Linked DNA regions of Arabidopsis thaliana. The protein of the gene in region 2 interacts with the protein of the main gene of each other region in a pairwise test. Each region holds a gene or a part of one and is shown on either strand. Other genes may lie near its edges.

What was found.
Region 1: the proteins of AT3G01660 (region 2) and AT5G66480 interact in a two-hybrid assay, tested with the Arabidopsis thaliana proteins (one large-scale study listed by BioGRID).

The regions. Positions count from the first base shown.
Region 1 is NC_003076.8:26,544,008-26,548,552, reverse strand, and holds AT5G66480 (bacteriophage N4 adsorption B protein), read left to right. Parts: upstream 1-1,552; 5' UTR 1,553-1,733; intron 1,734-2,072; 5' UTR 2,073-2,076; coding exon 2,077-2,818; intron 2,819-3,140; coding exon 3,141-3,563; intron 3,564-3,646; coding exon 3,647-3,816; 3' UTR 3,817-4,012; downstream 4,013-4,545. Other genes in the region: AT5G66500 (Tetratricopeptide repeat (TPR)-like superfamily protein), read left to right, coding at 1-477; AT5G66490 (uncharacterized protein), read left to right, coding at 801-1,130; AT5G66470 (GTP-binding protein Era-like protein), read left to right, coding at 4,251-4,545.
Region 2 is NC_003074.8:243,654-247,378, reverse strand, and holds AT3G01660 (S-adenosyl-L-methionine-dependent methyltransferases superfamily protein), read right to left. Parts: upstream 1,964-3,725; 5' UTR 1,848-1,963; coding exon 1,332-1,847; intron 1,253-1,331; coding exon 947-1,252; 3' UTR 525-946; downstream 1-524. Other genes in the region: SEOa (sieve element occlusion protein), read right to left, coding at 1-163; RGLG1 (RING domain ligase1), read right to left, coding at 2,317-2,454, 2,558-2,711, 2,812-2,939, 3,031-3,136, 3,251-3,330, 3,422-3,519, 3,628-3,725.

The sequences.
Region 1 (4,545 bases), on a different chromosome or scaffold from region 2:
GAAGAAGGAAGCGGAGTTTTACCGAATTCAGTGACATTTCTTGTTGTTATATCGGCTTGTGCACACGCAGGACTAGTTAAAGAAGGTAAGGAATGTTTTGGTATGATGAAGGAGAAGTATCGGTTGGTTCCTGGAACAGAGCATTACGTATGCTTCATCGATATCTTAAGCAAGGCTGGTGAGACAGAAGAGATATGGAGATTAGTCGAGAGAATGATGGAGAACGATAATCAAAGCATTCCTTGTGCTATATGGGTAGCGGTACTCAGTGCTTGTAGTCTTAATATGGATCTTACGCGAGGCGAATATGTAGCAAGGAGGCTTATGGAAGAGACGGGTCCAGAGAACGCGAGCATTTATGTGTTGGTTTCGAATTTCTATGCAGCGATGGGGAAGTGGGATGTCGTTGAAGAATTGAGAGGAAAACTGAAGAATAAAGGTTTGGTTAAAACAGCAGGACACAGCTTATTCATATGAATTGCTTTGTTTTTTCAGCATTACACTACACTTGAGCTACTGTTTTTGTGTCAAGAAACAGAGCAAGTCCACTAAAGTCTAAAGCATTGTTGTGGAACTGTCTCGTTGTCCTAATTAAGTCAAACACCAAAGAAGACATAGTCAAAAATAAAGTAGCATTGACCCACGAATAGTAGTAGGTGAAAGGGCAATGTCACATAAGGTTTAAGTTAAAGGAGTCGTTGGGATAAGGAGAAGAGAAGTCAAAAGATGTGTCCTTTTCAAAATCTATCCTTTCTTAAAAACATATCACCAGAGAGAATTGATCAAAACCACAAGAAATAATGATTAGAGCGCTGAGCACGAGGAAGGTTCGAGGCAGCTACAAGAAGCTCGGCGACGAAGAAGAAGCAGGCGCAGGGCTTTTAGAAGTGAAACCGGAGAGCGTTCCTACAAATCCCCATGGTCAATCCCCGAAGGTGAATAAACCGGTGGAGAAAACCAGGGGTTCGGCTCACCCTCTATTTAGTTTCTTCGAAATGAGTCTAAAGAGGAAGAAGAAGAAGAAGAGCACGACGACTGCAAAACCAGAATTCGCTAGGTACTTGGAGTATGTCAAGGAAGGAGGTGTTTGGGATAACACTTCAAATGGACCTGCCATATATTACAGATAGATCGGAGAAAGAGATTTCACAGAGGTTGTTTATATTTATTTTCGATTTGTGATATACCTTTCTATTTGAATAAGAAGGATGAATACATACATACATCAAAGTAGAAAGCTCGTCCATAAGCCATGATTCTGCTTCTTTGTGGACAAATCCATGTAATTTAAGTTTACAGTTTGATAGTAAGAAAAATTCTCGGTTTATTACTTGTTATCAGTAATCAGACTGGGTTTACAAATTTACGAATAAACACAGTGGGGCCCCTGATGACTACAAAAGCCTACCCGAAACACCAGGAGATGCCACGTCACTAAACATACAAAACCCCATCAAAACGCAGCCGTTCCGGTGATTCCCCAAAACCCAGCGTGATACGCGGTCGTTGCGAATGAAAGCCTTGGTGAAGAGGTTTAAATTAAGAGTTTGTTGCGACTAAAGCCTTGGAGAAGAGGTTTCTCTTTTTTCTCTCCTCCTCAGTATATATCTAATCTCTGTTTGCTCTTTTTTCGCACCATGTCATATCAATCTACCATCAATCGATCGTCTCTTCTTCCTCCGTCTGCGTTGATCTTTTCGTTTCGTCTTCTCCGATTGATGCTCTGTCGCGAGGTAACTATTTCTATCGAGTGATTTTGCTAGCTGCTGACTGTTCGATTTGATGATTAAGGTCTTGGTTCCGTGATAATCTCTGTTAAATTTAGTTTAGGCTACTTGATGTTGAATGATTAGTTTGATAATCTCGCACTCTATGGTTTGCTCCTTCCCGAAATTGAACTCTCAGATTGTTAGCTTGTTTGTATAGGTTATTAATTGCTTGACATTGATTTGGATTTTTGTTTATCCGTTATCGACTCTCTCGATGTTCATTACTTTATTAGTTGAACAACGCTCTCTCGCTGTTGTGTATCCCTATTGGTGGATTTCTAATTGAAATCTTCAATGATGCAGAGTCATGCCTACATTTTCTGCTGCCGCTTTGGGTAGATCACTAAATTCAGGGACGTCCTTATCTAGTAAATTTCCAAGCACACTGCAGTCAAAGCCGTCTATTTTGAATGATGAAAGTAAGCAACCTAAAGAAAAGACATTCACTCGTCCTCAGATGTCACCTTCTCTATATGCCACTACTAAAGAAATCCCTCATCCCAATTCGCCTTCTTCCTACCCTCCATCTCCCTATATCATCAATCACAAAGCTCGTGGGCCTGTTCTTTTCAATAGGGACTCTGAGGTGGATGGGCCTTCTCACCCGATAACCTCTGGTGAGGAAAAGATTAGTGGTAATGTAGATGTGGAGGCTACTGCCTCCTTGAGCAAGTCCACATCCCTATCATTTCCTATCACCGAGGCTATTGCGGTGGATCACACCAATGGTGTTCACACCCAAGGCATCCATGAACGTCCTGTTTGGGATTGCAGTCCCCCTCTTGGGACATTTTTGAACGAGAAGTCGGGAAGAGATATCAGCAATGGTGGGATTGGAAGTAATAATGCTACCAGTAATTTAGAATGGCAAAGTTACTTATTGGAGCCGGTAAGAATAAAAGCAGACAAGGAGCTTGAGCCTGAAAATTTCTATAACCCAGGTGAATTAGTAAGCTTCACAAGTAACACAGAGGTAGAAGATTTCGAGAGAGCTGAAAGCTCACACAGTCTTGCTACACATGTTGGAGAGTTTTATGATGCTTGCGATGGTACTGTTTCTTCCTACTAACTTTTTTAACCACGAGATAGCTAGAAAATTCTTATGATGTCTGACATTTCTAGCATCATCACTTTTTGCCAGTTCTTGGAGCCTCTTCTCCTTTAGTTTTAAGTGTTATATGCATATATCAGTATGTGATTTTGGTTGTGAAGTGGCCTTTTAGGCTTGGGATTCCTGTGTTTATAGTCATCTTGAATTCGTGATAGTTATGAATCAGATTTCCAAAGACATAGAAAATCTGCATGCATGATTCACTGGTATATCTAAGAAACTGGTTTTAATTTATTCAGTTACTGTTTCTTGGCTTCCAGAACTATCAACTGACAGTGGAATGCAGAGTTCAGCTAACAACATTGAATCTGAGGTAAGGGAGATGAGATTGGGTTTACTAATGGAAATCGAAAGGAGGAGGCAGGCAGAGGCGACTCTAGAGCAAATGCAAGTTCATTGGCGGAGGCTCCGTGACCAGTTGGCCGATGTGGGTATGTTCCTTCCTCTTGATCCCACCAGAAGCCAATACAGCATGAACCTAGCTGATGAGCTACGTTGTCAACTTGAGGTCACCAGGTTTGTCTCCGACACACTAGGCAGTGACTTGGCCAAGACAGAGGTAGAGATGGAGATGGAAGCTGAGCTCGAAGCTAAGAACTTTGAAATCACCCGGTTGTCTGACCGTCTTCATTATTACGAGACTGTGAACCAGGAAATGTCCCAGCGCAACCAAGAGGCCATAGGTAGAAGAAACTCAAGTTAAATTTACAAGAATGTCTTATCTTATTTTTCTTTATCTCAATGCTTCAACTCTCTTTGATATCAGAGGTGGCAAGGCGAGACGGGCAAAAGAGAAAGAGGAGGCAGAGGTGGATTTGGGGATCAATAGCTGCAACCATCACACTCGGGAGTGGAGTCTTGGCCTGGTCGTACCTTCCTCCCGGAATGTTATCATCAGATGAAGCTCAACCTCAGCTGTCTCCAAAAGATTCATAATGAGGTTGAATCAAAGCTTCAGGCCTTGTGAATAAAAATAGGAAAATGGGTTTTGTTTTAACCTTTTCTAGAGAATGTATAGAACATTCATGATGACGACATAACTCAGCTTCATACGATCAAGGTCATACCAATTTGGTTCTGTTTGTGTCGCTTATTGACTTGCAATGTTATTATTAGCCAGAAGTTCCGTGCCTGATTCTTGCTTTTGTTATGTTGGTTCTTAAATTTAACGAGGGGGGTAACTGGGTAAAGAAAAATAAAGGCGGTTGAAATGGGAATTATATTTAACAAGGGGTGTAAGTGGAAATAACAAATTCTGAAACGGCGTCGTATGAAGATCATATTTGGTTCCTTCGCTAATCACTAAAGAAAGCACCTGTGAGGAAAAACCAACCAGTGAGAGCTATCAATTTGAAAAACCAAGTCCAACAATGGCGGTCTCTCCGCATATTTCGCCTACTCTTTCCCGCTACAAATTCTTCTCTACTTCCGTTGTTGAAAACCCTAATTTCTCTCCGTATCGTATCTATAGTCGGCGGAGAGTTACCAAATCACATCTCCAGGCGCACAACAGTACCACTAGCTATGGCCGGACGGAACTCTCCTCCTCGAAGAAGCTATGGATTAGGCAACGAAGCTTCAGCGAAATGGAGGTTGAGCAAGCACAATTAGAAGATGATGAAGAACAAGTGGAGATCGATATCGTCGACGAAGCCAGTCTTCTCT
Region 2 (3,725 bases):
TCTGCTCGGCGGATCTTGGAATAAGGGAGACCCTTTTGAGAGGGTCGGCCGTTGGGAGGGTTTGTGAGTTCAATTGAAAGCGTTGGGCCATATTGGCGAGGTTGAGAGAAATATATGGTGAAGGATCTGATGTGTTGTGATGAATGATTGGGTTAGTATCCATGTGTGTGTATATATACTGGTGCAAAAGGTTAAATAAAGTGGCAACTTTGAATCAACTTCTTTGCTTCACCTTTGGTTCAATATCTGTTTTGGTGTCTTTTACACTTCCATACAGTTTTTCCCTTATCGATATTTCATAATTTTCATAATAATAAGAATTTCAGGTCTTGGATAATATTATTTCTAAATATGAAACGTCTCTAACGCAACTGCAACAGTCTAATACTAGTAGTGAGAAACATTTAATATTTCAAAGTTTATATACTGATGGTACAACGAGTTATCCTGATAAACATAACTAAATTTAGTATGTACATAGTAAAATAAGGGACTTCATAGCTATTTAAGAAGACACATGCATGGAACATAGATAGTGTACATATACAATGGATTTTTGTTTTAATATAAAAGACTTCCTTCTAATATATATACTGTTATTATAGAATCTAAACCATAAAGTAAGCAACTCGTGATACTCGTTTGAAGAGGGACAAGGCTACCTTGCTTGGATATTGTCCATGAATCTTCGAACAAAACGAATCACATACAATGCATGCTAATTGAAAACTATATATTAATTATATTTTCCAAAGTGTGTAATCTTTCTGTCAATTATTTCTTGTGTAATACAGGTTCTTCCAATTTGATTGAAATCTGTAATTTCATTCTCCACTTTTTAAAAATTTGTATTGTAAGTTTCTCCAGCTGGACTTGGTTGAGAGGTTTTTTCCTTTTCTTCAAAAACTTCCCATCCAATTCTTATACACTTTTTTTTATGTGCGTGTTACTCATAAATAGGTTTGAAATTTTTATAAGCAATGACAGCATTAAAAGGATCGGGCGTAGAAGCTAAACCGATAAAACCCATAAGCCGAGTCAAAACCGATATCTGAGCTCCAGGCTGTTGCCGGATGATCTCCGGCTGAGTAAACCCTTCAATAGACTGAAAGTACTGAACCACCAATTGGATCCGACTGTATTCGGTTCCATCACGCCAAACCCTAATTGCTTTCTCATAAAACATCCGGTTGCTAAAACTCACTATCAACACTCCTCCCGGTTTCAACACTCTATACACTTCTGCAAACACCTGCGGTTTATATAATAAAGACCCGGTTTAGGAATCTTCTTGACATAACCGAAATCGGTTTTGGTTTACGGTAACGTACCTTTTCGGGTTGTTGTAGATACTGTACACCAACAGAACACAAAACAGCGTCGAAATACTTGTCTTCGAACTCGAACTTCTGATCTTCATTAAGATCCTTGACGAAGAAGTAATCGAGTCTAGGGTTACGAGCAAGCTCCTGTGCGTTAAGACCATGCCCTACTACTTTCTCGTACTTCACTTCTTCTGGAAGATGGCTGACCCATGAGCTCATCAAGTCAAGTACAGTCGAACCGGGTCTCAACCGGTTTCTGTATAGTTCGGTTAAGGAGGATATGAAACTATCATCTACGTGGTTCACGAACCGTGGATATGAATAGAATTCACGGTCAGGATCGGCGTTTAGTTTGGTCCGACCTTCGTTGTTAAGTACTAACCTTTGGATCCTACCGGCCGAGGATGATGGTCGAGGATCGGTTTCATCGATTCGGTTTGATATGTTGGTGATTCTTGGTCGGAGAATTCTAGGTTTCAATTGAAATGGAGATTGTTGGAGGTTGAATCGAAGAGAATCCATAAGAAAAAAACTTTCGCTTTATCAAATTTCACAGAAGCGAAGAATCGTTTGTAGAAAAAGTGACAAAATTTATGTAAAAAGAAAGGAATGGATAACTGATGAGTGGTGTGATTATTTCTGCTCTTCCCTACTATTTATTTGGTATGTTTGCTTGTAGCCCAATTTCAGGCTAATGGGCTTCTATTGGGCTATTCATCCATTTATTTCTCATTGCTTATGTCGACAAAACAAATCAAAATTAAAGTGTTTAAGCAATCAACTTTGGTTTAATCGAATCTTGAAAAATCAAAGAAAGCCAACAGACAAATACATAATTCTTACAATCCAATCAAAGAAATTTTATGAACAAGATAAAGTTTAGGAATTCAATCAAAGAACAAAAGAACACTTTAATTTTCTACAGAAAGATCTGAAAATCTCTGGAAGAAATGGGATTTGGGCTGGTCAAAGCTGCATGTCAATGGTGTTGTTAGTAAAGCTTGATTCTGGTCTGGATCGGCGCACGACAAATAGGACACACTTTAAGATCTGGTCCGCATTCACAACAAGTCTGATGGCCACAACCAAACGCCATGTTTTTCGGGTTGCTCAGACATATCGGACATAGCTGTTCAAGGGGAAAATAACACAAACGAGTTTAACAACAAAAAGTTCCAAAGCTCTTATTTCACTTAACATTTCAAACAGATTCCTAAGTTTCTACTAATTACCTGAATATCGTCTGCACTACTCATTTGCTTGCTCTCAAATGGATAAGGAGGTACACTCGGTTCAAAATTCGGTATCCGGGAACTAGAGAATGATGATCCACTCTGCACCGGTGGCGGAAGTGGGATTCTCTGTGGGATATTTCCATTTCTTACCCTGCAAAAATGTAAGGGAAAGAGAAAGGTGAGCATTTTGTTTAACAATATAGCAGTTTCTCGCAGCTACACCTATCAGAGTTTTGATTTGGGTCCCTTACCCTAAAAGGTTAAGCTCTATCGTTGCTTTGTACTGTGGAGGGATCTCCATGAGAGCAGACAGCGCAAACTCTGTCTCCTTCCGAGACTGGTCTTTGTTCTTTGACATGATCTCTGTGAAGTTCACAAACTAGAAACAGAGCAAACATGTTAGAAAAATGGTTCCAAACTGAAGAAAAGAAGCAATCTTCAATGTCATGATATGAAAAAAAGAAGCTTACCTGGAAGTTATCGAAAGCTCGGGCAGGTATGTTATCATCAAATTCCTGCATCATGTCCCATGGTCCATCCCCGACCCCAACTAAGACTATTGACAAAGGAAGGGTACTGTAATAGAGAGGATGAAACTGATTACATACCATAACACTTTATAACATTACACTCAAAGTAAAGAACTTTAAAATGGAAGAAACATTAGTCAAAAGATTGAAATATTCGCACCTTGCTTTCACAATTGCATCTACTGTCTTCTGTTCTTGCGGACTTAGCCGCCCGTGTTCGGTATCGACACTTCTTGTGACCTGAAACAACAAAATGGGTCCACTTTGATATCCCTAGACACAAAACCAGAAGATCATACACAGCTTAGGCAGTCAAAATATTAATCAGTACCTGGCCATCAGCTATAATCACTAACACATGATATTGGCCACTACTCTGCTCAACCACTGTCATTGCCATTTCAATGATCGGGGCAAAAGAAGTTGGTCCTGAAATACATAAGTTCGCAGGAAAAAAAAACACAGTTTTAAGTTTATAACTTGCGTTTCACAAGGAGATATAGAATTGGCCAGTGCAGGTCAGAGCAGGAAATAAACCTGCGAGCTTAAGCTGAGGTACAATTTCTCTATAACGAGCCAATACTTCCTCAAATCCATTACAGAATCTTCCCTCTGGATAGAAACTAAACACGTCT